4 linked regions of the Struthio camelus genome follow. The protein of the gene in region 4 interacts with the protein of the main gene of each other region in a biochemical or structural test. Links are inferred from orthologs where the notes say so. Each region holds a gene or a part of one and is shown on either strand. Other genes may lie near its edges.

Evidence for each region.
Region 1: the proteins of KIT (region 4) and PTPN6 form a complex in vitro, tested with the Homo sapiens proteins (2 studies listed by BioGRID). The link is inferred for Struthio camelus from reciprocal best matches to the Homo sapiens genes KIT and PTPN6.
Region 2: the proteins of KIT (region 4) and MATK form a complex in vitro, tested with the Homo sapiens proteins (2 studies listed by BioGRID). The link is inferred for Struthio camelus from reciprocal best matches to the Homo sapiens genes KIT and MATK.
Region 3: the proteins of KIT (region 4) and KITLG form a complex in vitro, tested with the Homo sapiens proteins (3 studies listed by BioGRID and IntAct, with this or other methods). The link is inferred for Struthio camelus from reciprocal best matches to the Homo sapiens genes KIT and KITLG.

What each region holds. Positions count from the first base shown.
Region 1 is NC_090942.1:90,534,678-90,542,188, reverse strand, and holds the start of PTPN6 (tyrosine-protein phosphatase non-receptor type 6), read left to right. Parts: upstream 1-4,504; 5' UTR 4,505-4,644; intron 4,645-4,849; exon of another isoform or gene 4,850-4,852; 5' UTR 4,853-4,940; coding exon 4,941-4,954; intron 4,955-7,511. Other genes in the region: ATN1 (atrophin-1), read left to right, coding at 527-560; C1H12orf57 (protein C10), read left to right, coding at 2,713-2,767, 2,849-3,043, 3,183-3,331. UniProt on the Homo sapiens protein: Tyrosine phosphatase enzyme that plays important roles in controlling immune signaling pathways and fundamental physiological processes such as hematopoiesis.
Region 2 is NC_090967.1:486,922-494,434, forward strand, and holds the start of MATK (megakaryocyte-associated tyrosine-protein kinase), read right to left. Parts: upstream 3,191-7,513; 5' UTR 2,723-3,190; exon of another isoform or gene 2,632-2,722; 5' UTR 2,399-2,631; intron 1-2,398.
Region 3 is NC_090942.1:49,333,454-49,341,064, forward strand, and holds the start of KITLG (kit ligand), read right to left. Parts: upstream 3,293-7,611; 5' UTR 2,815-3,292; coding exon 2,800-2,814; intron 1-2,799. UniProt on the Homo sapiens protein: Ligand for the receptor-type protein-tyrosine kinase KIT. Plays an essential role in the regulation of cell survival and proliferation, hematopoiesis, stem cell maintenance, gametogenesis, mast cell development, migration and function, and in melanogenesis.
Region 4 is NC_090945.1:56,830,964-56,838,261, forward strand, and holds the start of KIT (mast/stem cell growth factor receptor Kit), read right to left. Parts: upstream 3,053-7,298; 5' UTR 2,967-3,052; coding exon 2,900-2,966; intron 251-2,899; exon of another isoform or gene 112-250; intron 1-111. UniProt on the Homo sapiens protein: Tyrosine-protein kinase that acts as a cell-surface receptor for the cytokine KITLG/SCF and plays an essential role in the regulation of cell survival and proliferation, hematopoiesis, stem cell maintenance, gametogenesis, mast cell development, migration and function, and in melanogenesis.

The sequences.
Region 1 (7,511 bases), on a different chromosome or scaffold from region 4:
TGGCCTGAGGATGGCAGAAGTGGGATCAGGGAAGCATTTCTCCTTAAGTGGTTGGCTCCAGCCTGACCCCCACATCTGAGAGCATGGATTCCTTGCCACTGGGGCACAGCTGTGGGTTGGCCATGACGAAGGTCATTCTTGGCAAGTGGCTCTTCAGTGGCCTGTAGGCTAATCTCTTGTATGGGGTCTCAGTTCCTTTCGTTGGGGAGTAAACTTACCTGTTTCGCACATGCTAATACAGTTCTTGCTAACTGATACCCTTGCAAAAACAACAGATGTTCACAAGAGTTGGATGGATGGTCTGTCCTAAAAAGGGTTCTTGCAAGTGCACAGGGAAGCGTACTGGGACAGGGAGAGGTGCAATATTGTACCTTTTGGATAGCATCTCCTACCTCAAGGATTTGGAAAACTTTCCAAGCCAGCACTGTCATGTGGGACTAGACTAACCAAATGCAGTGCACAGTACTAAGGTAGTTCTCCTTCTCTCTTTTTTCTCTCACAATCACCTTGTTCTTCTTTCTCCTAGTCACCTGAAGAAAGAAAGTGACAAACCCCTTTAAATGGACTCCTACTCTCAACGCGACATCATCATGTCTTTCTCTTAAGAGGAGCAGTTGATCAACCAAATCCTGGGGGAGGGGAACCTACACATCCTGATCCTACAGTGCAGTACAGTGCAAGAGCAGAATGGATCAAGAGTACAGGATGGCATCGTGGGAGCAGAAAGGAGAGGAGAGAAAATGGGGAGGGACTGAAACACCACTAATGGACATGGAATGATTGGTACATGATTCCAGCAAGGCTCTGAAGGAAACAAAATTAGCAATGCAGAGAGCTCAAAAAGACAAAGACTGATGGAAATTCAAGATTGGAGCTGCTCCATCCTTTCTTTTGGGGGAACAGTTGCATTAAATAAAAACAGTGCAGAGCATCACAGGAGTTCATGTACATGATGCTGTTGCCCTTTCTGCTTCTGTGAGGAGATGTGGCCAAGAAGTAACTCAAAAACCTGATGGAGCTTCTTTTAAAGATGCCTCCTCACCCCCCCCCCCCCCAACTTTAGATGTAAGATACAGCTAAGTAACACAAAAAAGCAACATGGAACTTTTTCAAATTAGCCAGGGTGGCTTCCCATTCTCCAAAATCCTGTCAGATACAAAGCAAGCATTATGGGACCCCTTCAGAAATGGCCACTCCTACCTAACCGCTCAGTCACTGAGGGTCTGGGTCTAGCTGTGAGGTGCAAAGCACCACGAGACTTTGCGAGACCTGAGACTGTTTGCGAGACCCAGTGGCTGTGCTTTCCTACGCCTCGAGGGAATGGTTAGGGCCATGAGGTGCAAAGCACCGGGAGACTGTTTTAAAGACTGCAATTAAAGACTGCAATCGCCTCTATCCCTTTGAGCCCCATTGGGAGAGCTGACATGGCCAAGAGCCCCTGCATCGCCCCATTGGGAGAGCTGACATGGCCAAGAGCCCCTGCATCCTGGTACTCTCTTCGCGAAGGTGGCTGCCCCTTTCCCCTCACCCATTCTAATTGATGTACTTTTAACTCATGCACATCCTATTAGACGTGGCAGTTTTATGTAGCAATTTGTGACTCCCTTATCCCGCGTGCGTGTCTGATTTCACAGTTGTATATCTCGATTGGTCCCCATATATATATTTACTTAAACATTAAAAAAAGGAAAAAAAAAAGAAAAAACAACCAACAACCCAACTATGGAAAAACACCCGAACAAAGTTTCCCACGCACTCCCAAGCCTCAACACACATTCTAATAATTTATATATATAAATATATATATGAAGCTCTTAAAAAAGAAAAACAAAACAAAAAAAAAAACCCTTCCAGAAACAGTCTGTTGTGTTCGTTTCTTTTCTACTGGGGCTAGGAAGCGATCTGGAAGTGCAGTGAAACAGCACACCTGCAGGGGAGTTCAGAAATGAAGTTCTCCCTGGGCAGAGGAGTAAAGATGGGGGATACCGAAACAGGCCGAGGAGTGGCTGCGATGCAAGTCGCTGCAGGGCCCGGAGGGTGGCGAGAGCCGGGGGCACGGCCGGGACGAGAGAGGCCAAGTGTCGCTACAGGAAATGCCAAAGCAGGGCCCGTGCGGGCGCCGCACGAGGGAAGCCCTCCTCGGCGGCGGAGCTGGGGGATCGGCCCGGCCCGGCCCGGCCCGGCCCGGCTCGGCCAACCAGCGCAGAGCGGCCCCGGCCCGGCCGCAGCGCAACACCCCCGGCCCGGCGGTGGTCACGGAGGCCCCGCCCCACCGCCGAGGGGCGGGGCGAGCGCGCCTCGGCACCAATAGGAAACAGCTTATTTACATACTACCCCAAATACGTCCCAAACCTCTCTTTTTGGCTATTATAGTCATCGGCAGCGTGGGTCAGGGAGACAGACCTGTTCGGAAGGGCGCAGAGGCGCTAAAGACGGAGGCTGAGCGAAAGATGTGGCTCGCCCTCACCCCAAAGACAGTGCAGCTCGCGTGGGCCCCCGCGCGGGGGCAGGCGCTGTAGTGATTTCAGCTCTTTTAGTATTTGTCCAGTAGGTTTTCCGCGGCGCGGGAAGCCTCGCTGTCTCGTGTAAGGGCAGAGCGGCTGCCGCGCGTGCGCGGGGAGCGCCCGCCTGGTGGCTGCGGGGGTGGGTTGGCTCCGTAGCGTGGCCGTGCGGGGGGGCGCGCAGCCGTGAGTGCGCGGCCCGCGGCGCCCCATGGCGGCGTCGGCGCAGGCCCCGGCCGCGGCGCTGAGCGCCGAGCAGGCCAAAGGTGAGTGGCGGGGGGCGGCGTGGCCGGGAGCGGGGCCCGCCGGGCGGGCGGGAGGCGGCGGCGGCGGCGGCGGGCTGGCAGCGGTGCGTGTGCCCGCAGTGGTGCTGGCGGAGGTGATCAAGGCCTTCGGCTCGCCGGAGAACGCGCAGCGCATGGACGAGGCGCGGGACAACGCCTGCAACGATATGGGCAAGATGCTGCAGTTCCTGCTGCCCGTGGCCACCCAGATCCAGCAGGACGTGATCAAAGCCTACGGCTTCAGCAACGACGGGGAAGGTGGGTGCCCGCCGGCGGGGCGGGGCGGGGCGGCGCGGCTCTCGTGTCCGCGCCGCGGCTCCCCCGACCGCCGCGGCGGGGCGCCGCTGCCGCAGCCCGCGGCTCAGCCGCTCTCCCCGCCTGCCCGTTTCCTTTGCAGGCGTGCTGAAGTTTGCCCGGCTGATCAAATCCTACGAATCTCAGGACCCGGAGATAGCCAGCATGTCGGGGAAGCTCAAAGCCATGTTCCTGCCGCCCATGACGCTGCCCCCGCACGGGGCTGGCCCCGGGGGAGTGGCGACCTCGTGAGAGCGGAGGCCCTGTGCCGTCCCGGCCCTCGGCGCTGGCAGGGCACGGCTGGACAGCGGAGACGCTGCTCTGGGAGGAACCAGGCTGCTTTGTGCGCCTTTGTATGTCTGCTGGTGAATAAAAGCTATCTGGAAAACAAACCTCGTGATTTCTGAACGGACCTGGGCCTAGCACTGCTCTGCCGGGGCGGGTCCTTTTCTCTGCTGCAGAGGCGGTTAGAGCAGTGTCCACCTCATGACTGGTAAAGCCTGTGCTAATGATTTGAGAGGGGGAGGGCTCGTATGTATCAAACTCGGAAAAAAGATGCTTGCTCATGCAAGCCTTGGCCTGAAACCACACCACCTAGTATTAAAGCAATACTTTTTTTTTTTTAAACAAGATTTCAGAGGTGCTAAGCCTTATCTAAGAACAAGCGTTTACAAATGAGATATTTGACATGTTTTAGGTAGTGGGTTCATAAACATAAGCTAGTCCCTAAGGTGTTCTTCAGCAAGTGGCCTAAATGCAGCTCAGACCCCTGTCACCAGGCCAGTCAGCCATGCTAGTTTGTTCCTCCCTGTACACTGCTAACACCAGCTTATATAGCTGCACAGTTGTCTTCTAGCTGAATGTGTGATCAGACATATTAGACCTAATGTAAAAGGCTGCAGAAAGGTGAAGCAGGGACGAGCATGGCGAAGGAGAGCTAGCCTTGCCCCTTTTGGCTGCAGCCAGGGTTAGAGCAACATAAACATAATCTAGAACTGCATCATGTGCCTGCCAAGACCAGAGAGAGAAACCAACCCAGGGGAGCAGTTCCTCTCAAGTTTGAATCTTTGTATTTGTGACTTGATTCAAGTGAAGGGGCATCAGGTACATTTGACTGTTGGTGGCCTTGCAGCTTGTATGGGTCTCTTGCCCTTAGATGTGTTGACACATTTGGGAAGGGTCAGGGTGGGTTGGGGTGGAAGGGCTGGGAGAAGAGGGAGCTGAGGGTCAGGTGCTGGAGAGCTGTGTGTAGTTTTGTTTTCTGCGTCTTTCAGCTACAAAGGGCTGAGGAATGTAGCCAGCAAGGGCGTGAACTTAGTGGATAGGAGGCAGGAAGAACAGTCAGTCCCTTCCGTCTCCATCCACCTCTCCCAGCTTGGGCTTGGCCTCCCCCCCCCCCCCCTTCTAATTATTTATTAACTACAGCCCAGGAAGTGTTTTGTGAATGGTGAAAATCAAACCCTTTGCTTGAGGCCTGCTGTTTGCCTGACCTGGAGCTACCTTCTCCTCTGTCCACACCAGAAACAGGCCGAGTTCAGAACTCTTCCCGTGCGGATCAGATACAGGTGAGTCATAGGGCTTGCAGCAGACCCAAAGCACTATCGGCTGCTCCTTCCGGAGCTGTGGAACGAACCATGGTGAGCATCCAGCCATGTCTCTAGGGTGGTCTAGGTCTTGACTTGCTCTGTCAAGTTGTTTGATCTCTCTCCCAAGTCCATTTCAGATACTACTGTGTTGATACTTCCAATACTTTTTTTTTTTTTTTTTTAGTAGGACCCCCTGGTTAAGGGCTGTGGTACTCCCTCCACCTGCTGCTTGCTGTTAGTCCCCTATCTGTGGGGATCTGCCGGTCAAGATCCCAATGCCATCCTGTGGGTGAGTGTTGTGTATGCTAGCTAGGGGTAGAAAACAGTGTTGTTGGTGAGAAAAAAATAATGGAAGTAAGAATCAGGTGTAGAGGGGAAAAAGAACACCTTATACTAGGAACTACTGGAGAGCTGGAGGACTAGGTTCACAGTGAGTTAGACTGCTGTCGCTGCTGCTCCTCCTCACTTGTATAAAGAGAGAGAAGAGTTTGTGATGACCAGTCCAATACAACTACTTTTCTGCCTTCTGCAGGCCCTGCAGCTGCAGCATTTCAAAACATTTTTGTACAGAGAGAGATCAGGTGGCAGACCTTTTTAAAGCCTGATTATTTATTGATTTGTTACTGTCTTTAGAGTCTAATTGACAAGACACATGCTCTTCACCGTCAATCCAAATGGGTGCTCTGTTGTTGGGACGTCAGCAACATGGTATAAAGAAATGGGATTAGCACCAGGGTTAATCTATGGTTAGGTTCTGCTTGGGCAGCCACTGTGGTCCAGCACTGTCCTGTGGTCCTGTAGCCTGCCAGAGAGCATCTGGCTTGGGCAAGTCCCAGGAAGATGGTCCATCTGCCCATTCCCCCAGAGCAGATGGCCTTTATCTGGCAGCTCTAACAGTGCAAGAATGCTGCAGCTGAACTACTATGTAGCTCTGTGTAAAACTGCAACTTCCTGCCTATGCTTTACCTTGGTGCTGAGAGTTACCGGGTGGCAAATGCAGTGCTGATTTTTAAAAAGGGTTCAAATGAGAACCACAGACCAATAAAATTGATATCTAGAATGAGCAAGAGATTAGACACTATAATAGAAAAAGGAATGAATATGACATTAAAGAAAGAGTCCCTATCTACTTTGGTAAAGGCAAATCTCGTCTTGAAAAAACACTGGAGTTCTCTGAGGGACTTAGCAAGCTTGTGGATAAGGGAGATCTGGCTGATACAGTTTGCTTGGATTTGACAAGTTTCCCCTCATCAAAGACTTTTAAAGAGAACTAAAGACTTTTTAAAGAGAACTAAAGCCATGGCATAAGAGAGAGGAAGATTTTTTTCTTGAGTAAAGAATTAGTAGAAAATAAGAAATGGAAGATGGGCATAAATATCCAGTTTTCACAGCAAAGGGTAGTCACCAGTGGTCAGATCACTAGGGTCTGAGCTGGGATATGTGCTGTTCAGTATATTCCTAAATGACCTGGAAAAAGAGGGTAAACAGTGAGATGAGAAAATTGGCTGATGGCAGAAAGATATTTAGGATAATAGAGTGGGAGTCAACTGTGAAAAACTGCAGAACGAACTTATGATAGAGAATGGGTGGGTAATAGAACAGCAGATGAAATTCAAAATGGGTATATGTAAAGCAATGTTCATGGAGGAAAATAATTCAAACTTCACCTATAAAAAAAGAACTCTGAAATGATCATAACCTCTCTGGAGTAAGACTGTGATCTCATAATACATAAGTGCATGCAAATGTTAGCTCAATGCTCAGGTGCAGTGAACAAATAAGCAGAAATCATAGTTATGTCTTTGTATATGTCCATGTCTCACCAACATCTTGAATGCTATGTGCAGTTCTGGGGTCCCACTTCATCCTCATCTCCAAAATGATATAGCAGAGTTGGAAAAGGCTCAGAGAAGGACAGTAAAGATGATTAGAGATGTAGAATAGCTCTGTACACAGAACATCTAAATAGGGTTGGAGTCTTCAGCCTGGAAAAGAGCTAAGGAAGGAATCAGAAGTTACAGGTCTCTAAATTCATGAGTGGCTTGGAGGGAGTGAGTAGGAACCAGAGGAATCAGTCATTGATTTTTTCTTTCATTACAACAGTCGGTTGTTAATAAAAATGGGCAGGGAACAGGTCATAAGCAAACCAAAGGAGGTGGTGGTTCTGTAGTTCAGCAGTGGAACTGCTTGTCAAAGGATGCTAAATATCTTGTGGATTCAAAGATTGACTCTACAAGTTAGTGAGGGCATTGTCCAAGTGAGCCCTGAACATCTCCAAGACTGGAGATTGCCCAGCCTCTCTGGGCACCTGTGCCGTTGCTGAACCACTCTTGGGCAGGAGTGTGTGTGTGGAATTGTTCCTATATCTATTCAGAATTTCTCTTGATGCAAGTTATGCCTGTTGCCTCTTGTCCTTTTGCTGTGTCCCTCTGAGAAGGATCTGGCTCCATCATTGCTAACCTCTCCTTCCCTGCCCCTTTAGGTAGTGTCAGACTATTAAATCCCTCCTCAATCCCTCCTCAGCCTTCTCCAGGCTGAACAAAACCAGCTCCCTCTGCCTATCTTCATGTGTCTCATCACTGGACTTTCTGCAGTTTGTCAATGTCCTTTTTCTTTTTTTTCTCCCCAGTAGTCCATATGTGAGCATCTTTTAATTGGCTCCTTCATTTATCCTCCTTTCTAAATTGATTCCTGTGCCCGTTGTGGCCTAGCTCCACAAAGGATTTAGAAGATAAGGTTCTACAGTTTGTGTTGTACTGAAGGCCAGACTACACCATAAGAATAATCTCTTTGATGCTGAAATCTCTTGACCTGTTAATTACATGAAGAAAGTATTTCAGTGGCTC
Region 2 (7,513 bases), on a different chromosome or scaffold from region 4:
CTGTGGCACTGCCCAGCCTCCTATAACCACAACAGAACGGGAGCATATCGGGCCCAGCAGCTCCCCAGGTCACAGCATCATCCAAAAAAATCACTAGGCTTTTAAAAATAAAGAAGGGGGTTCCTTAAGTTTTCTTCTGAGTTCAGAGCCCTTTCTCTGGCTGTTTCGCTGGTTTAAATTTCTCTCCATCACTTCAAAGCAGATGCTTTCTTTCCTTTTCTAAAGGAAGATGAGGATTTCTCATGCATTCACATGACTCACATGCTTCAGGCTTTATAAAATATGCCATCTGATGAGACCCACGTTCCACGTAGGCGAAGCTGAGTCGTGCCCACCTTGCTCCTTCCTACCCAAGCACTGGAAAGTGTGAATCTGTCTCAGGAGCTCAGTGCTTCTCTGTTTTCAAGACCTCAAAACGGCCAGAGAAGTGTCAGCTTCCAAAGAACGGGAACGTGTGAGGAGGGGGGAAGTGATTTTATTTGTGCACTGATCTTGGTGCTCAGCTAACACAAGAGCCTGGCCATGTGTGGCAGGGACCCAGCACTATCTGCACCTCTCTCTGGAAAATCCAGTTGGAAAATCTACTGTTGCTTGGAAACTTCCAACAAGGACGATGTTTCCCCTGCTCTCTTGGCCTTTCTCCCTTCAGTTCGGTTTCCCTTCCCCTCCAGGGCACTGTCAGCGTGGTGTACCCATCCCTGACGGCGAGGTCAGGCCTCCCTGCACCGGCTGACGAGGGCTCTCACTTCCAGGAGCCAGGCTTCCCTTCTCCCGCAGTGACGCCTCTGGCATCTGACTGAGCAGGGGTGGGAGGCAGCACCCCAGACGGCTGGGAGAGGTGCGGGGCTCAGTCAGCTCCTTGGAGCAGAGATGACAGTCTTTGCTCTATTCCTCTTTTGGAGGGTGAGTCACGGTCACTCCTCTGCATCACAAGTGGTAAAACCCAGCCTGTCTAGGTGACTGCGACGATGTGAAGACTTACCATGCCAGCTTCCATCTACCCTCAGCCAGAATCCAGAACAAAGTGAAGATCCACAAAAAGGGACAGCTGCAGCTGTTTCAAGGCTAATATTAGTGGCTAGCAGTTTTTTTCTATTCCAGAAGCCATCTTCACCTAGTACAGACATCCTTTTGTCCTGTAGCCCATCTGTGCCACATATATTATCTTGGTGGACTAAAGCTTCTGGGCAGAGACGCAAAGCCAGCAGCCCTCTGAATATTCCCCCACAGACACAGCCAAAGTCCTACCTGCTGGGATGCAGGTGAGCTGTGTAACACATCCAGTGTGGGTGAGGATCATCTGGGTACAGGGCTCACAGGATAGGAATCACTCCATCCCCCATGCTGCAGGGCAACCCAGGTCTCCACAGGAACACACAGGACCGATGGACTGGCTGCCCCCACGGTACTGAGAAAGGATATGCCACCTCAGCTAGGAGGGACAATAGCTGCCCTGGTGGTTTTCCTTCATCTTCTGCTCCTCCAGGACAGTCATTTCTGGTGCAAAGCAACAGCTCTTTGCTCAGTCCTGCCTCCATGTGTGCGGACTGCGGGTGGCCCAGGTGCTCTGGGCTAGGCACCCAAGGGCATGTCTTCCTCTCTTCCCAGCTGACACATCTGGTGAGCCTGGTTTGGTAAAGCCACTGCAAGGGCTAAGAGAGGTACACTGCCAGATATACACCGCCAGATACCTGTCCCTGGGCAAACTTGGAGACCCTTTGGCACATCAGCCCAGACACCAGCTAGCATATAGGTGAATCATATTCTTTCTGGTGCCACTCACATACCTTGTTGTAAAGCAACTGTTATTCTTGGAGATGTTTGGTCCATGTGGTTCCCATCACTAGAACGTATGTTCCCTCAAGTAGGATGTATGGGCAGAAAGCCTAGGAGGAGACATTTGCCCACCCACATCCCCCTTTCCGGAAGCTATTCCACAATTTTTTAAACCAGCTAACCTGTATATTTGCAGTGAAGTGCAGAAATACTATGCATTTCAGTTCTGAACCTCCCCGACCCTGACTGAAGAGTTTAGGCTTGTTTCCAGTGCACAGAGTGACTCCAGCTGAAGAGCTACCATGACCCAACCGCAGTGGTGGAAGAGGGCACACACACATTAGCAGACTGCAACTTCTGCACTGAAACTTGAGACGGATATATTGCACACGCACCTTTGAAATACAAGCTGGAGAAGTTCTCCTGTTTTACAGATACGCCATCGCACTAAAGGGTCACTTAGACAAATGCCGAGTATAGTTCATTTGTTGAAGAACAGGTGACACCTGGCTGTTTACTCCACTGACCACTACACTAACACTACATTCATCTCTCTCCACCAGCAGAGCAGACATGACAACATCACCTGCTCTCAACAACTCTAATAGACCTTTGCACTTACCTCCCAGAAATGTCCATGCAAGGCCTTGGGGGCAACGATGTCTCAGGGCTGCTCACGGCTAAGCCGGGACTCAAATCCCTGAATTCCTGGAGAATAAATCCCTTTTCATACGGAGCAGCAAAGCTTTATTTTCAAGGACACGCTCCCAGAAAGAGCCACTGCGTTATTTCCTGATTTCTCTTCTGGTTAGCGCTGTAGACGCAGAGCGTCCTGGAGGTCCTAGTGCCTGCCGCCTATATAGTCAAACATTAATCAGAGATGACTCATTATTTGACAACGCTTACCCCAAAATGACTTTTACCCTTCAATAGCACAAGTACACACCCTCACTAGAAGAGGCATTGGAGATTGCCAGATCTCACATCCTACTGCATTGTGTAGCACTCACAGAAAATTAATGATCAACTACGCAAATAGAGTGAGATTCGCTGATACAGCCTTGATTACCATGATCAGAGCATCTTCCTGAGCAGCAGGTGACCGTGAGTAGCAGCTGCTCTCTAGGGGGAATGAGAGACTCAGAAAAGGACACAGCAGGACCACGGTTCCTGATGTCTAACCCTGTTTCAACATCAACTTGCCTGAGACTTAAGGGAGGTTGATCCAGGAGCATGTATGCGCCTTGTCCACTCTATATGGGATGAAAACCACTCACAGACACATCACAGGCTGAAATGGGCAATTGTAAAGCCCAGAGAGATCCTTAAATGCACAATGCTGTCAAATGGCAGGGGCTTATCTATATCCTCCAGCATCTACAATTAGAGCAGAGGGAACAGTTGCCTCTGCAACTCACCACACTAGCCAAAAACCTGGAGACCAGTTTTACCCTAACCTTCAACATTTCCAATTTTCTGAATAAAATGGGTTTAAAAAAAAAAAAAAGCAATCTCAGGCAAACACAGTTAATTTGATCTTTTTAATTTTTTCTCTAATAAAATGGTGTTTAATCCTTTAAAAATACTGGCAATTCAAAAGAAAAAGTAGTTTTGAAATAAATACGTATTTGTTTAAAGAATGAACCCAGAGCATTTCAATTCCTCCCATCTCCCAGTAGGATTCCTCAAAATTGTCTTCTTCCCTTCTTTAATACACAGCTCTACTCAAAGTTTTATACAGCTCTCCTTTGCCTACTCAGTTCTCTTCAGTCCCCAAGTTGACAATACAGTTGGATTCATCAGAAATGCAACAACTTCTCCGCCTGAGAAATCTGTCCCACATTTCAAGCATTCAAAAGGAAATCAGAAAATGGTGACACTTGTCACAAAAGCAGGCAAATCTTCCTACCTTGCCTCCATGGCAACTTAGGGGTTTCATTTTACCTCTCCTTTTAGCGTCTAAAGCCAAGGATCCATGTTGCCTTTGGCTTTCTCTACAGCCAAAGGAAAAACAGGCACCTCCAGAATGCGACGCAGCTGACCTGGTTTCAGATGCCAACCTTGAGTAAGTCAAGCTATCCTAGCAGCACCGCTTTCTTTCTGTTGTTCATAAAGGCAGCACAGGAAGGCTTTCTCAGCCTTTGACATCCAACTTCAGACATTTAAAAAGAACATCACTAAGTTTAAATGTCCCTTTTTAGAGCTAACATTTTTATATTTAGAGCCAGACTTCTCACCAGTGATACCACCAATTCAACAGCGATGTTGGGAGGACCATTTAAGTGGACATTTCCCCCTAGGCAAGGACTGAACCTTTAAACACTGCTTTATCTTATCCTGCTTACAACAGGTGACTACAGAAAATAGATACATCACTAGGTCCAAGTGCTGTTATGCATCTCTATGCTACTTGCATGGCAATCCCGCAGGCAAGTGGGCTGCAGGAGCCAGACTGACTGTTCCAAGAAGAATTCCCCTCCTTCCCCCAGTCAGGAGCAGTGTAGACAGCAGAGATATTTTCACTAAACCCTTAGAGAGCAGATGGCATTTGCACAAATCTACACCCCAGTGAGAAAGTAGATTTTGTGGGAAAGCCCTTGTCCCTGTGCTCAAGGGACAAGTGGAAGATGTGCTGTTACAGCTGACAACCTCAGTTCATTACACTAGGTCTCGGCAGCGGTTTTATCTAGCAGCACCAGGCCCTCACTGCAGTGTCCGTGTTTGTGTCATGACTGAGGGGGGGATGCGCAGCACTCAAAGGGATGTTTCATATCTGGGTTCTTCGTTGTTACAGGCATCCACATCAGCTATCCTGTCACGTCAGTTAAACTTATTTTTAGCACTGGTGACTTTTCCTTCAATTCTGGGGGTACTTGTAGCACTGTTTAATGTTTTTACTTCCTAATTTCTAATGAGAGAAGCTCTTTGGAGTGGATGCACTGTTGTATCCTCTTTTCTGCTCTGACCAAGGTAAAAGGCTAGAAACCGTACATGGTATTTCAACACTCCCCAATCTTGCTGAATTACCAGCAACAGATGAAGTTAATCATAAGGCAAAAGGTAGATCAGAATCAAGGCTTCCGCCCACGTGACGTTATTGAACCTCTACTGCATAAACGTACAGAAGGATGTCAGCAGCTCCAGCAGAGCCAGTTAACTGAGTAACATTCAGTTCAGAACAAATGGCACAGTACTAGTTAAATACATTGTACCTGTTTAAACAATTACAGAAACACTTAACTGCATCCCTCCTCAAATATGTGTTTTTGTTCCATTTATAATTCTTAAGCCAGAATGTTTAAAGGGAAACTGCTTTACCCTCCCCTCCCCAAACAATTTGCACTTTCAAGGAAGAAGCATTTGATGACAAACTAACAATACAGAAACAAATTTTTCAATAAGTCCTAAAAAGCAGTGGTTCAAAAAACTCCAAACAGCCTGAAAGAATATGAATAGAGATTTAAAAAGTGAAGCTTAAATGTAGAACATAAGTATGAAGTGTGTGACAATCTGTTAGCTAACCAGCAACATCACATAGGACAGAAGTGTGCAATTTCATTTCTTTTTCTCCATAGCATTACAACAAGATAGCATTACAAAACATTAAAGCCACATTACAGGCTCTCCTTCACACATTTGGTTGGTCAATTGCAAACAAATAACAACAACCAAAAAAACCCCAATCAGTTATATGTCTGTACAATTCAGCATCCACATCACTGCTCCTAGGTGGGAGCCCACAAAGTGCAAGATCCCTCTCCAAAAGCGGAAAAGGCCCTATGCCAATTTCAACTGCTTCAGATCAGGCTAGAAAGTGCCTGATCAGGGCTGGAAATCTAAAATAATACAGAAAATATCTAAAAAACAAACCGCAAGCTTGTGCTTTGCTTTGTACACCACATAGGCAAACATCAGAGTTTAATAGTATCTGCCTCTGTCTACCTATTTTGCTGCAGGAAGTGTTTCTTCTAGAGTAAGAGAGTGGGAGGGGAAGGAGACATAACAGAAAGGAAGGAACTGTTGCTATAGGCAACTTCACTCTTAAGGAATGGTGCAATTTCTGTAGTGATTATAGTACAATTTAAAATTATCTACAGTACATTATATAAAGGAAAAAGTTAATAAAATTGTCAGACTAAAACAAACTTGCATAAAAATTGGAATAACGTGAACGTTATCTTACAAATGCAATAGCATTGTTAGGCAGCATCTTCCTCTTTTTTGTCCTTCCCATCTCCCTTGTCCTCTGCCATTTCAGCTGTCTCTTCTTTTTTTATTGCACGCATTAAATGTACTTTTAGGAGGTGGCAAGGGGTCCATTCCAAGTACGCTGCATATTTTTCTGAAAGCCAGCATTTCTAAAACATGTTAGGAGAAGGAGGAGATAAAATGGCAAGAACCTTAATAGAATGAAGACAGCAGTTAGAAGGAAATGCACAGATGTCCTCAGTTCTTCTTGCACATACTATGGAAGCTGGAAAGTAAAGTTATTTAGAAGATCACCTTCATCATATACACCAATACACAGTAACTAGGATTATACTGCAGAAAGGGATTCAACCTCACCTAGAGCTAAGGTAACCAGCTACTTTGAAAACCAGAATCAAGGATTTTGTATCCAAGCTGAAGTTTACTGAAGTCCTTCTAGGGAAGATGTGACGAGCTTTGGACCTTGTGTATGACAGCCAGAAACCTCTGTGGGGTATAAGGTTTTGTAGGGGGGAGAGTTTTTATTTCTTCAAAGCAAGAAAACGAGTGCAATTAATAAGCTGCAGTCTTCTAGAAAATATGATGACCTAGCCTGAAAAAATTCCCCTCTTGCTATAATTAAAAAAAGTGAGTTTAACTTTCCCCATCCCCTGCATCTATGCACGTACATCTTGCAGAAGTATTCTGCTGCTGAATTATTGGACTATCACAACATTTCCTACTTCATTCCTAACAAGCAACAGGGTTAATAAATAGGACAGAGAGATGCAAGTTCAGAGTGACTGTACTTGTAAAATTGTTCCACATGATGCTAATGTAAATTTCTAAAACAAACTTCTTCATTTGGCCACAAAAGTTTCAGGCAAAGCTAACTACACAGCGGTCGCTTGTAACTCAGTCTAATTCTCCATTCTCTTTCCTCATATTTAAGATGAGTAGCTACAGAATTTTAATGTTTGCTTATTCAACATTGGTCAAGAAAGTCAGTGCTATCATTGCAAAGAAATAATACGGTCAGGCACATTTTAAGCATTAATGAAAAAGAAAAATGCAGACCACATCTCCCTCACAGTAGTTTAAAAGTGTTAGTTGCTGTGGGGATCTCCAGTATACCACTCACAGCAACATTTACTGAAGTGTCCCTTCTTAATAGATATTAACTGCTATTTTTTTTCTACTTGTATACTGACTGTGACATCTTCTCATTCCTTATGGGTCACAGTCTCCAAAACATCCAACTTAGCTTTCCAGTGGGGATCTTCCAGCCCAGGTCTATCTGACAATGACAGAAATAAGGAATAAAACACATTACAAAATAAATATACTTCAGTCAGCTTTTTAAACAGTGAAATTCAGGGGAAACAATTTAAAAATTCAATTTAAAAACTATTTTAGTACTTCTGGAATTTTGCTTTACTTCAAGTAAGAAAGTGTGAGAAACTGATCAAGCTTTAGATTCTCAGGAATGAGCATAAAGTTATGGAATTTGGGACTTCCCTTAAATTTTTTTCCTAAAATACCGTTTGCA
Region 3 (7,611 bases), on a different chromosome or scaffold from region 4:
TGACTCCTTTTTGCAGTATATTTCTCAGGAAATAACTTAATCCTATGTAGATTGTCTTCCAATTGAACAAAGAACAAGCAAATCAGAGACCTGCTACGTGTTTTTGCAAGCTATATCACACTGCTATCACTCATCATATTTTCTTCAAAACGTAAGTGCAGACATCAGCGATATTTGATTTGTTGTAATATTAGCATGCAAAAGAATGTACAGTCACTTCCAGTAATAGTTTTAATTACTAAGTATATAAGCCTGCAAATCCTCTCATGCAAGTAATCCTTCAACAAGATTAATTCATGGAAATAGTCCCATTGAAGAAGGATGTGTAAGACCGGACCCTAAATGTTTAATCATAATTTTAAAGTCATTACTGCTTAAATAACAAGATGCTGGCGTATTTAAAATAGGGGTTTATATATTTATCAAACTGTACAGCTTCATAAATAATCCTTTTAGGACTGACACAGTTGGGGAACATGTTTCTGCAGTTCCTCCAGTTTCTCAGGTTAAGACTGATGTAAATAAACTGACCAACCTTCTCACTCTAGTCTACTATTCAGCATGACTCCTTCTTCTCCTTCAGCACTTTAGCTGCAATGAAGTATGACTTAGTTACTCCTTCAGCTGCACTAGTTATATATTATCCTTGTGTAACATTACCTTAACATCAAAACCCCTGATTGTTTAAGTACTATCAAGGCATTATTAAGTACTTTCAAGGCTTATCGAGGTAGTGGTTCTCACTTCTTATACTACGTCTCATGCAGGATTCTTATTAAGAAATGTTAGTTTCTTTCCTAGCATTCCTATCCTATTCTTTTCTCTGTGCCAGCTATCAGTCTAGACAATGTGAAAAGCTGCTACAGGGGAACACAAATATTAAAATTCACCTTAATGCACCCAGTGCCACAATGCACTTATGTTCCCTTTCTTGTATCCCTATCACTTACTCTCTCTTCGCACAAAGGTATTCATGGTTTTAGTGGAAAGCCTTCCTTGACATATCTTCTGCTCTGATCTCCTTGGAATGATTAATGGTTTAGTATCACATTTGTTTGCTAATCCTTAAAATGAAGGAAACATGCTTTGGAAAGCTAGGAGTCTGTCACTGTCTCCCAAAAGCAGGAAGCATAACTGCTTGAAGGCTGACAGATGCTTCACCGCTATGACAAGAAGCTGTTCCACAGGCTACAGTTTGTGATCCCCTGAGTCAAGCCATATGGTACTGAATGCCAGGACTGCCTCTTTCCCAGTTTACTGGGAGAGAGGGATTATTCCTGCTTTGCTCCGAATTTGGCAAAGTTCTCTGTGGGCTTTAAAAGTTTACAGTTCACACGAAATGAAATGCTTGATCACTTGCACTTGTAAACCCTCATTTGCCTGCTGAACTGTTTTTTCTTCTCAGGAAACAGCCTGACATGCGTGCTGCTATGGGCTAAGATAACACAGTACTTTTACCGAGTCCAATTTTAAGTAAACGTATAAACTTTAAGTAAGTATACAAATATGGCTCTCAGTGTTTAAGTGACTCTTCCCAATTAATAATCTATTCAGCATGCGTGATCAAGTCTGCATATAAGGTCCAAAACAACAGTTTTGAGGTGCAAGGCATCTTTATCATGTCTTAGGAATAACAGCAATGAATTTATGCTGTTAGAATTCAGAACTGCTCATTTAAGATTAAACCTCACTGTATTTCAGCATCGCAAAAATTAAAGTCAAGCAAATTATAACTCCTTAAGCATGGGTACGCTCTCCAGTGCTCTAGCCACTTGCATTTTAAAAACCTGAGAAAGTAAGTATTTCTAATTCCTCTCTTCTCTCCAAAGGCTATTTAATTGTCCAATAGATTTCAGTAAGGTATTTCCCTTTTTAAAAATGTATTTTATGTCTTTTCTGTATGCTGCAGTTACGAGTCGGGGAAGACCTAGCAATCACCAACAGATGAGGGAAGGCCAAAAACTATTTTGCTTCTGAACGGGAAGGGGAGGCGAAGGCAAAAGCCTCCTGAGCAGGACCAGCAGCGCGAGCGAGCGCCCGGTGTGCTGCTCTTGCCCCTGCAGCTCAGCGCTAAGGTCAACCAGGACAGAGGGCACCGGCACCCTGCAAAGCCAAGCCTTAAAAACTTTTCCTCTTTAGAGTTCCCGTACGCGTTTTCTTATTATGGGATGGCTTTTCCAGTCCTTTCTGCACTTGTGTCCGTCCCCAACCTTCCTTTAAAAAAAAAAAAAAAAATGCGCAGGAGAGCAACTGCCATCTCCGGGGACCGCGGTGAGGGCAGAGAGCCCACAGCGGCGCGGCCGAGGGCGAGAGCAGCGCGCACCGCACCGCACCGCACCGCTCCGCGCCGCGCCGCGCCGCCGCCGCCGCCGCCCGTTACTCCACGCTCCGCACCCGATCCGATCCGACCCAGGCACCCCATTTACGACGGCAATTTTTCCCAAGTTGCCCTCGGAGCTCCGCTAAAGCCAAGCCGTCGACGATCCGCCCCGCTTGCCGGAACTTTTCCCCGGGCGGTGCGTGCCAAAGACGAGACTTGACGGATTTTTCTTTTTTCTTTTTTTTTATTCCAAGTCGTTGAGCTCCGTCTGAGCAGCGGCTGCAGCGCCCACCCGCAGAGGCGCTGCCCTCGCAGCCCCCGAGGCCCCGCTGCCGCCCTGCCTGCCCAGGGCGGGCAGCCGGCCGCGCACCTCGCCGCCGCCCCGGCACACGGGGCCGCTTCGGCGCTCCGCACCCCGCCGCGGGACCCCCCTCCGCCGCCCGCGCAGGTGGCCGCCCCCCGGCGGTGCCCCTACTCACTTGTGCCTTCTTCATAAGGAACGGCAGCGCTGCAGTCCAGCCCAGCCAGCCGGGTGCAAACTGCCTTCAGCGGAACTGTAGCTCCAGCATAATGCAGCAGCCGATAGTCCACGCATTGGGGTTGCCCACGGCGCGCCCCGCTGCCTGCCGCCGCCCCTCTGCCCACGGCGTGAGCGCAGGCACTGACTGGAGCCGCCGCCGGCGCCCGGCCAGGTCTTTTATATGCCCGATCTGCCTCCGGCGGCGGCGGCGGCGGCAACGGCTGCAGCAGCGACAGCCCCGGCAAGACACGCCTTTCCCCTCCCTCCCGCCCTCCCTCCGTCTCCTCCTCGAGCGCTTGGAAGTCGGGAGCCGGGGCAGGTCCCGCAGGGAGGGGGGAACCCGAGTAACTTCAGGGAAAGCTAAGCACGGGAGGGAGCCAAGCCCGCCCGCTCCCACGGGAAGCGCGCCCGGCGGGGCCGCGGCCGGGCCGGCGCGGCGCACACTGCGCGGCGCGGCACGTCAGCGGCCGCGCCGTGGTGCCGGGCCGGCGCGGTGCCCGCCCGTCGCGGCCGCCCCGCGGCGCCCCCTGACGGCCGGGCGGCGGCGCCTTCCCGCCCTGCGCGCGCGGGGCCCCCGACTCCAACCGTCGTCGCCTCACAGGCCGCCGGCCGGGCCGGGCCGGGGGCAGCGGGCAGCCCGGGTGTTCGCCGCTGCCGTTGGCGCTCCCGGGGCGGCGCCGCACTGCTGGGCTTTCGTGTGGTGGGTGGTGGTACCTTGAGGAGGCGCCTCGCCTGTCCTGTTGCTTGAAGTCAGTTTGGGTGCCAGACTCGAACAAATGGCCGGTATTTTATGAGTGGCACCTAGCTGTAGCAGTGGCCTGAAGCGCGCGGTGGGAAACGTCTGATTTGTAATTTCCGTGTCAGGAAACTGAAATTTAGCCTTTCCGTAACAAGCTAATGGAACTAGGCACTGTAGTAAGTGTCTTAATGAAAGCCTAAAAACTCTTTTTTACCTGCTCCAGCTGCAGAAAAGTTGTGGAGCAGTGCCTCCTAATGCTTACGTAAAGGTGCTCCTGCAGGTGTTTTACTGTGCCATTAAAATCCATGTACTGTTGAAATAATCCAGTAGCATTGGGCTTGGAAAACGGCGCTATTGCTTCTGAGGGTGCGGTGTCCTGCTGGCCCTTCTGCCCCCGCCGTCGGGACAGAGTTCAGGTCATTGTCTGGGAGGACAGCTGTCAGGTTGACGCAGGCAGAGTCTCGAGTGTTCATTAAATGCGAAGAAGTGTGGTTTTTGGAACTAGCATTTCCCAAGACAGCGATCTTTAGTGATGATTGAAGATCGCATTAGCACTGGATGAAGAAAGAATAGTCTGCTGAAATCAATGGTCATTTCCTACAAGAGACAATAAGATATTTCATCACAAAAGTTGCCAAGTTTTAAGCAAGACTTGCTATTTGCAAAGACTTGCTAAGTTTTCGCGAGATTAGGGTTCTGGCCCGAGTGAAGATGAGCTGTTCAAGCACTGAAATGGATTTTAAGAATTGTTGAACCCATCCCAACTCCACTGTATATCTGGATTTAGGACAGATCATCTAATTGCTTTGTCCTTCTGTATCCAGTCTAGAAAAATGGGATAATAATTTGCTTTTAGAGCATGAGACAGCTGATGAATTTGTTACAGTTTTTGCATTTCTCAATTATTACCATGCTGAATTGCCTTGGAGTTCTTGTGTTACCTTCTGAGCTTCACCAGACTATATATATAATAATAGTCTCTGCCTTAAAAAGGTTGTAATTTAAGCAGATACGGTAGACAGGCAGTGAAAGGGAGGAAGTCTATAACAAAAAAAAAATCAATGACTACACTCTACACTCACTGAAAGGATATTTTGTATATCACCTAGTGATGATCAACCCATACTGTTTCCCCACTATACGCATTTAGCAAATAGCGTCAGGAAATTAAAATGTTATGGCACACTTCCTCCTCAGAACAGATGACCAGTTTAGTCTCCTAAGGAGAAGCAGCGGAAGGTGTGAAAAAGCAGTCTGTTAGAGTAGTTACCTACCTTATGAAAAATACTACTGGTCTGACTGCATTTTGAGCACAGTCCACCATATTAGATCATCAGTGGGAGGAAAGAAAGGGAAAGGGGAGAAGTGAGTCTTTTAAAGCAATTTTTGAGCATGTCCAGTAGATTCAACAAGTTTTAGATTAAAGCCGTCTTTGTGAGAGACAGAGCCATGGGAAACACTCATCAGATTGCCCTGTGCAATCAGCTTCTTTTCTCTAATAAATTTATCTTCTTTCTTTACTGTGGAAGGACTCAGAGAATATGACTGTTTCAAGATAAGTTCTGTAGGCTTCATTAGTCATGTCAGGAAAGTGTAAGTGGATGCCTTGTGTCAAGTCACTTTACCAATAACCATGTCATGCAGAGAGAATACAACTCTTAAGCCTCACTAGGTCTCCTTACCGTTCTAGTGTCATGTACCTTTTTTGTCTGTCCTTGATTTGAGTTCTTGAACCTGTCCTTGTGTTTAACCAAGTCCAGCTATAGTGGAATAGTGCCCTTTCCATGTCTTCCTTTTGTCTGGCAATTTGCAAGCGTATTACTGTTGTCATCGACCTCAATGCAGTTTGGGAAGTCTTTTCTCTGAAATTCAGAGTTTAAGACTTTAAACACATTAATTACTTGTTCGTAACCCATTAGAAAACATGTTTTTATTAGCTTTGGCTTTTTCCAACGTAGTGCTGACTCTTGACTTACCCAGTAAGAGAACTGGTTAGTCATGGACCGTTAGCGTGTTGAGTGGTAGGTTTCCAAAGCATAACTGCGAACCACATTCAGTCTTTTATGGTCTACCTTGTTTGCATTTTGAAGTGCTTGAGGGTAAACACAGGCTCCTCACATAACTCTGTGAAGACCTATTTCTTCACAGGGAAGCCACAAAAATACTGCTGCTCGTCCTCACAGGATTTGATTCCACCCACTGAGCAGAACCGTCCTTCACCAGGAGTACTATTCTGCGTATATGGAAATAGCAACAACTGAAGCATGAATGAAGTATTTCCAGTTTGTCATGAATGTAGGAGTCTCACCATCTTCTACTGTTGAGAAATGGCTGCAAAAATGCTATTTATTCTAGAGTTTAATGGATTATCTGCTGTGCTGTATAAAGCTCCAGCTGCAGGAAAGATAAGCTTGCGTAGTGTGTCAATGGCTTGGTTTCTGGCTGGAACAGCCAGAATGTAGGAATATGTAGAATCAGATCTGGCTTCAGCAGCAGCCATTGCAGAGAGCTAAAAGACCCTCTACAAGTGTTTGGAAAAGATGAAAAAGCTCTCCAATGAAAACGTCTACACTGTGAGGGCAAAAAACAGTTTCTACGTATTGGAAATGTACCTGCGCTATTCCCATTCGCAACTCTGTTACACTGATAAACAAGCTGAGCACACAAAGGCCTTGGTTGACAGGAGGCCTCCATCTATACTGAATTAATTCAGTTAACTCCTCCCCCCAGCACTTCTTAAAGACACAGAGTAATAGATACAAGCTTTACTAACCTATTTCAGACTAGATAGAAATAAAAGATAAGAATTAAAATTGAAGTATATAGAGCCAAGTGCCCTCAAACATCCTTAGGTTTTGTCTACAGAAGTTTTTGATTGCAGAGGAATCACTTTTCTAAAGAAAAAAACCTTTAAGAACATGAAAGATTTACAGAAATTACATGGTTTGAGGAAATACGTTGAGATAACTAACTCTTTAAGAAATCTTCTCTGTCTTTGGTTCCACAAGTTGCACTACGTGTTATTCTGTGATTGAGAAGTCATATATTTTAATGTCAGAGCACAACCACAACTGAATATTAGTACTTTAATATTGGATCAAAGTACTCATTTTGAATTTCTAATTGAACTTTCTTATACCTAAGAATTACCAAAGTGACTGTTGGTTTCTTTTAAGCACCGTAAAGCCTTTATGCTTTATACAAATGACAGGGAAGAGTTTTGTGGTTATTCAGTATTACCAATTAGCAAGTAAGTAAATGACTCAGTCGAGACTTAGATCCATGGGGACATCTACACTCTGAAGAGCCACTTTTATTTCAACAGGCATCATAAGAACATAGGATTCAATGGTATTTTTTTTCATTCACGTAATCTAGTTCTAAAAATTAATTTGAGAAAAGCAGTTTCCTTGTAACTGGTTGATTTTCTGTAATATATTAGCATTATTTTAGAGATAATGACATTATTATATGGTAAACTCACTAACTAGCCAGTTTGGTTGGCAGCCTGATTGGGGGTAAATGCAATATTCTGGATCTAAAGAGACGTCTCCAAATTAAAAAAAAAAAATTGTTAATACAATTATTTCCTGAAATGGCAGCATGAAAAGTTCAGTACCTCATTATGATACTTTTCTAAAAAAATCCAATAAAAAATCTAGATGCAGGAAAAATAAGAAGCAAGTCATGCAGCATAAGAATAGAGCCAGGTAGCTTTAGAGTATCTGAAATCTGTTAAAAATGCCAGTGAAGGAGGCTAGAGTTGTGCGGCTGTGTGTGAGATTATTTTACCCAGCAGAAGCTATGAAGATAAGCAGGTAGACTAGGCTAGTATGTAGTCATTGCTTTCATTGGAAAGAAAGTGGATTTTGTACATCTGACTACCATCCTATCCTAAAATCCGGATGGAGGCAAGGAATGACAGATTTTTACTGTAAGCCTAAAACTGCTTCTGTCCATTGGTGTCTTTGCTGGTTTACTTTGCCGTAAAATGACATAACTATTTCCATTAGGACTTTATGGCAGGATAAT
Region 4 (7,298 bases):
ATGGAAATGCTTCCAGTCTCTATGAACAGTACTTAAGCTGGATGCAAATGTGCATCTCACTCTTTGCCAAATTTATCACATCATTATAAAGCTTGAAGAAAAATCACTTACACACTCGCTCCGAAAAGCTTCCCAGTTGTAACGGAAGGAAAAGAGTCAACTATTGAACAATCCTTCACATTTCCATTCTGCTCCTGGCAGTGGCCTTGGGCCACATTTATGCACAGGACAATCCGCAGGGCTGCAGGGGAGGGAGGAAAAGACGCAGGAGACAACAGGGACAGGCAGAACAAGGAGGCCCAACACAACAAACGGGGGAGGAGGGAGGGCGGGATATCTGAGGGGCCAAGACAGCGACTCAGTGACAGCAGTCAGAATCGTTATCCAGTTCTATCTTCCGCCTTCAGTCTTCCTCCCTCCAGGCTGGCAGGTACCGGGAAGCAAAATGAACACAGACATGCTTCCCCCCGGGGAAGAGGGAGAGCCTCCCATTACCCTGCAGCTCGCTGGGAAACGGTCAGGAGGGGCAGTGAAAGGAGCCACCAGGTCCAGCCTTCCTCGGCTGCAGGGCGAAAACCCTGAAAGAGTACTAGGGGCGGGGGGGGGGGGTGAGCCTCGCGGGAGGATAGGGAAAAAGCACAGAGAAAAAGCTTATTCCAGAATATTCCATCAAAGGAGGACTAGGCAACCCTCAAATGGATGGAAAAGTGCAAGCATGTGTTCAGAGACAAGGGGAAGGGGGAAGGGGGTGGGGACAGAGAAGAAGAATGGGTTCCTCTCCAACAAGTTACATTCAGCTCTGCTTTCTACATTCTCCCTCCTTCCTTGGTTGCAACCAAAGGAAAAAGCTCTTGACTTAAAGGCCAAAAAAAGATACTTAATATAAGCTTGTATATGAATAAACAACAAACACGGCAGGTCTGAACGGGGCCTGCAGGAGATCATCCAGTCCACGGGTCTGCACTGCGGCAATCCCAAAAGCAACATGGGGTCAAGCCAGCTCCAGAAAAACCCAGCACAGCAAAGCAGGCTCTGTCAGGCCTGTCGCTTTCAGTGTGCCCAGCGCCCCTGCCAGGACATGAGCCACCTTCTGACACCCCTTCCAGCACAAAGCTAGCCCTGAATTGCCCTACACCTATGTGATACACAGACGACATACGGAGGGACCTACAGACCCTTGCCTTTTGCAACGGCAAGTCATGGGTGCCTATGACTACACTATGAATTTCTGTCAACACAAGTTTGCCTAATGTGCCACTGAAGGGAAATACCTCCCACAAGTGTCTGAACCTAGAATCAGATGAAGGATCGAAGGGTTCCCACCTCCCCTTACCTCCTCGCCCCACAGTAGTCTAGAGCATGCACCTGGTGGCCTCCACGAGATGCGGACAGTCTGACGTGTTTCCCAAGCTTTTCTTAAGGACAGTCCAATTGGCAGATGAAGGATAAGCTTCAAGCGCAGGGCAAAACAAGTATGAAGTGGAGACGTTTGTTGGGATATTAATCACTTCTATATACTTTTTAAGAAATTCCAGGGAATAACACATTGTTAGGAGAGTTCTGTATCTCTGTGACTACTGCACTAGCATTTGGATAGTCTGTGGATATTCTGGTTATGTGCGGATATATCCCTACATGTGGATATTCTGAACAGCAAAGTCCAAATTGTCGGGTACGGCGCTCTACTGGAACTAATCAATAAACAAAAGGGAACAAAACACAAATGTTACCAAAAAAAAAAATTTAAAAGTGTTAATAAATCAAATACTGCCCTTTCTCACATGCCAAAATAAAGTGCTTACAATAAAGAATCATAAATTGTCACTACTGTTCGGTTTTTTTTAAAGTTTTATTTGCTTCCAGCACGGGAAAACTATGGCCCAGAAGACTTCCACAGCCCTCCCCTGTCTCCTCACACACAGAGCACTCTCCAAGTCTCCTCTCTGTTGGTGGCAGCACTCACAACACCTAGCAAGTGCACTGCTTCCCTTAATGCTTAGCTTTCTCCTGCAGAAGAGTAGGAAGATAACCTTTCAAGTTGTCCACTTTCAAATTTTGGTGCACTGGTCCAAACTGTGTGCAATTCCACAAACACTAACAGCCATCTCCCTGTGGCACCCGCAGACACCCCCCCCCCCCAAAAAAAAAAAACTACCCCGTTTCTTAACCCACCAAACAGCGCAACTCGAGACACGGCGGCTCCAAAAGCCTTGCTCGAAGTTATCCAACACCGCAGCCGGATGCCGCGTGGGAAACCGCCAGCCCCGCGCGCGAGCACCAGCCCCACGCAGGTGGGGCCACTGGCACCTCCCTGGCACGAAGCAAGCGGCGGGCGGCCGCGCACCGACCAGCGCGCACCCCACGGCCCCGCTCGGGTCCGGCCGAGGGCACCGAGCCGGCGGCGCCCCGCTGCCCTCGGGGGCGCTGGGCCCCCGCTGCCGGCGCCTCCCCTGCCTATTGTTTAGCGCGCACCTCACCGCGGGCACGTTTTGTACCGATTCCGAGAGTTTGTTGGCAAAACAGCCCAGCCCGGGCAGCGGCGGGGCGGGGGCGCCCTCCCGGCCCCTCTCCCTGCCCCAGATAACCGCCGCTTGCAAACAAAGGAGTTTTTTTTTTTCCCGGCGGAGCGTCCCGCGCAGGCGGAGCGGGGCCGCGCCGGGTGCCCGGCCCCGGGGTGCGCTCGCTGCCGCGCTTGGCAGGGGCCGCCCGCGGCCGCTCCGCGCAGCCCCCGCGCCGGCGGCGAGGCTGGCCCCGCGCGGAGGGCACCGCACCGCACGGCTCCGCGCCGCTCCGCCCGGCCGGGACGCCCGCGCTGGCCGCCAAAGTTTCTCCGCGCCACCGCCACGCGTGTCCCGGCCCCGCCGCCCCGCGGCGCTCCGCGCCCGCCCGCGGCTCCCACCTGCGGGCAAGAGGCTCAGCAGCAGCACGGCGTGCGCCAGCTCCCAGGCGAGGTACGCGCTCTCCATGCCGGCCCCCCCCCCGCCCCGAGCCCGGCCCGGCGCCTGCTCCCGCTCCCGCTCCCGCTCCCGCTCGCACCGCCCGGCGCGCAGAGATGCCCGAGCCCCCGCGGCAGGGCTGCCGAGTACAGCCGGCCCCGCCTCCGCCGCCCGCCCCGCGCCCCGCCGCGCCGCGCCGCGCCGCGCCGCGCTGCGCGGCCCCCCGCGCCCCGCCCCGCCCCGCCGGGGCTGGCGCAGGTGAGAAACTCTCCCGCCTCCTTCCGCGGGAGGTGGGGGGGGGGGGTGCCTTCGCCTCGGTCTGAAAAAACAAACCATCCCACGCACCTCTCCTTCCTTCCCTCCCCCCCCGCCCCCTCCCCCCCCAAACAAGGGAAAACTGGAAAAAAACCCAGTGAGCAAATACGCGCTCAGTGCCGCCGCTAGAAATCGCCTGCGGGCCGCGGCGGTGCCCGGGGTGGGCGCTGCGCGGGGAGCGCAGCTGGGGCCAACGCCGGGGTTGGCAGGGCCGGCGGGGCTCGGCGCGGAGGCAACAGCCCCGCAAGGACAGGTACAGCCCAAGCCGCGGGCTCGTTTCTGGCTGCGGGAGGTGTCGCAGCAGCCTCGGCGAGCCGCGGAGGTAGCGCTGCGGCCCGCGCAGCCCAGCTTTCCCACCGCGGCCGCTTTGGGCAGTCGCGCTTTAGCAGCAAGGGAAGGGCTCGAGTATGCCCTGTGACACACAAGGAAAGAGTGAAAGAACGGGCTAGTTTGGTACGGAAAAGAGAAGGCTGACAGGGATCTTAAAACATGGAAAAGGTTCCCACAAAGAGGGTTGCGAGCAATTGTTTTTCATGTCCCCCAAGGGCAAGATAAAAAGTAATCCATTTAGTTCTCAGGAAAAAAAAAACTTAAATGTTAGGAAAGCACTTGCAAAGAGCAAGGAGAATTTATTCTGCAAATGCATCGTGGAGGGCAGGTTGTGGTATCCCGTATGGGGAGATTTGTAAGCCCCGATGAGGCAAACGGTTCAGCAGGAGGATCTGGGAGCACTGGCTTCTGTATCGGCAGAGCGAGAGGGAAGCTGCCCGTCGGGCAGAAATAATACAAACTGCAGAAATAATTCTGAGTGCAGAAATGTCTGTCTTCAACTCTCCTTTGTGTCACACACAGCTGAAGGGAAAGAAAGTTGGATGTAACATGTGATACTGGATGTTGGAGGCAGAGCAGTCGTACATGCATTCCCCTGCTGTGCTCTGACCAGAGAGCCAAGGACAACACAGTCTTTTAACAGGCAGATGGGGAAAGGACGCATAAACTGTCAGAAAACCCCAAACAACGCTTTTTCAATGTTCATAAGGATGTAGAGGACTCATGGCCAAACTCTTACCAGTGGAAAAGCAACCAGAATAAATGTAGACTTTTTGAAGCACATCAGTACAGATCAGAAAAGTTATTGAAGGCAAATTATTCATTTTTTTTCTTCATCTTCTTTCTTTGCTTTTTCAGTACTGTCAGTTTTTTTCCGAGGTTAATAGCACTGTCCCATATGGTCCAGTGTTAGATGAAAGTCTTGTCTTATATGTTTAAAATGGCTCTCCATTTCTTTACTCTCTTTCATCTCCCACAGCTAGTCTCTTTTGATGGGTGAATCCTTCCTTTGCCTGCAAAGCAGAATGCATTTTTGTTAGCACACTGACAATTTCAAAATCAAACATCATTTTCAAATCATATTTCTCACTAGGTGTGAGCCTCACCAAATTAATTCTGGGTAGAGAAAAAAAACCAGCTAAAATACTTAAAATTTTAGTGCCACCTAGATTTTCCAGGTGTCTCTGTGCTTCTTTTTTTCAGGAGAAAAAAAGGGGCTTGGCAATTTTTTTACAAGGGCTTAGAGCATTTACAGTTTGCGTTCTTAAAGATGCAAAGGAGTGCACAATATGCTGCAGGAGGTTTCCACTGCAACATTATCAAGGAACATGTGATGTTGCTGTTATGACAGGTTTCTCCCTGTTCTTTTTGATTAGTGTTATTTCAGTTAGTGGCCTGGCTTTATGCTCTGCACATCCCTGATCACATGCAGCCCAACTGCATTGCCCTGCATCTTGCGCCTTTTTTTGCCCAACCTTAGCTGAATGTTAAACATCTCAAAATCAGAATGGCAACAATGTGCTTTGGCAACATGCACTTTGCATGGCTATAAATAGCTGCAGTAAGTGGGAGGCACAGGTGAATTAGGTGTAGCCTTGCCACTTCATTTATTTTTAATAATCATAATGACAAATGTAGTTCTGCTTTGTCCAACATCTTGCATTGAAAACTGCATGTAAGGCAGAGTTGTCTCGTCCATATTCTGTTTGCAGTATAAAGGGAAACAAGCGTTTCCCCTTAATCAGTGAAGAGGACTCCCTTGGGTCTTTTTACTCTCTTCCAGAAGATATGACCATATGACCTTAAGCCAAAACAGGTCTATTTTGCATTTGCAGCCAGACAAGGTAGCCCCTCACATGTTCCTGTGTTCAGTTACTGTGGTACCATGGCAATATGTTAGGATAGATAATGCCATTTCTTCTGATTGTCTGCTTGTACCAACTTGCAGCAGTTTGACATCTGGGGGGGGGGGGGGGTGAAGCTCCGCAGACTCCAGAAACAATGGTTTTGAAGATAAAAATGATAAGCTTGGAGAAATATATGAAACCTTCTATTTGGAAAACTCACTTCAGTTTGAAATCCTTCAGGTGATTTAACCATAAATATGGACTGGCGCCTTTAAACAGCCAATTCAAAAGACTATATTTACTGTCATCAGCGGTCTTGTCCACATCCATGGAACTGCCTACTGGAGTAAACATTGTATAAATCGATAATATTGGTAAGATTATGCTCATGTCATTGAACAACTGCTGAACTAATGAAGGACTTGCATAATTTCTGTATCTGAATGCAAATGCGTCTGGAAATTATCTCAGCTAGTTTGAGAGCATCAAACGCTGTATTCGTTAGGTCTGTGAACACCTTTCTATACTAAATCTTTTCAGTATAAATAATCTGTGGAATCTATTTTATCTCTGGCAAGGTATATCTAATGAGAAGAGAGGAAAATACTCTTCTGATACAGCCAGTCAATGCCTGCTAGAATTCCTCCTGATAAACTGTGTGACGATGAATTCTTCTATAAGACTGCACTCTCTTTTTCTAAATTGTAGACTAAGAGATATTACTCTAGGACATTCCTATTCCATAGAAAAGGGAAGCCCCTGCAATCCGGATGACTCTGGAATTAACTCACCTCTAATACTTGAAGGCTTTGAGAAACTATGAGTCTTTGAAACATATATTGATTTACAAGTGTTGTAGTTGCTATCTCATCATTGCCATAAAAGTTTGTTACAGTTTGTAAAAGTGAAAAGTAGTTAAATTTCTGCTTGATGCATTCATCGAAAACAGCAGTTCTGAAGCGCAGCCATCAGGAATGTCATATGACTACCATGCAAGAACACATACTCATCACTGTGCTGTATCTTAATTTTAATCGACAAAACCGTGACTATGAGTTTTCTAAGCCTCTTGTTTACTAACACAAAAAAAGGGAAATCTGCTGGTCTAGACTTGGTATGCCAAGGTGTACCAACTGGAACCATCTGGGACTGTTTCCTGCAAGGCTTTAGGTTTCAGGACATCCCTTTGCCTTTATTTTTATTAACTTTGCAGTCTCCTGCATCCTCCTGCTAGAGTAGAAGGGGGATTGGGTGGAGACAATTGAGGGTATTTGATAGACTTGTATCTTAAGGTTTCATCTGTAAATGGGAGGATTTTAAAGTCTTCCATGCAGCTTAACTGAAGAGTTTTCCATTACTTTTAACAGGAATGACTCTAAAATTAATGCAGATAAAGTGGACACCTTTATGTTGTTCCCCTCTAGAATATGAACTTTCAGATGGACCATTCAGTCTTACTAAAGTGGAAAGTATCTCTTATTTCCTTCTAATCCAATTTTGTAAAATACTCACTGAATCCCATTGTGCCTGTGATCTTACATCACTATTGCTAGCCTAGTTAATTAAAGAGTTTTCTAGCATCAAATGTCAAGAGCCAAGATATAATTGCCATTGAAGCTTGAAATATTACACTATTTTTAAAGATATCTCGTGTTATCACATGCATAGCACACTATTGTAAAAACTGTCTTATCGGTGTAAGCTTAAGTGGAAAATAAAGGCTCTAATCTTCCTGATAGCATTTTTGTTAGTTTATACCCTACAATCTTGCTAAGAAAAGAGATTTGTCTTTGTGAAGTGCAAAGTACTGTTCTGCCCTTTATCGCTTGCTACTTTACTTGCAGAGGCCACTGTTGAAGGCCGGAGCTGC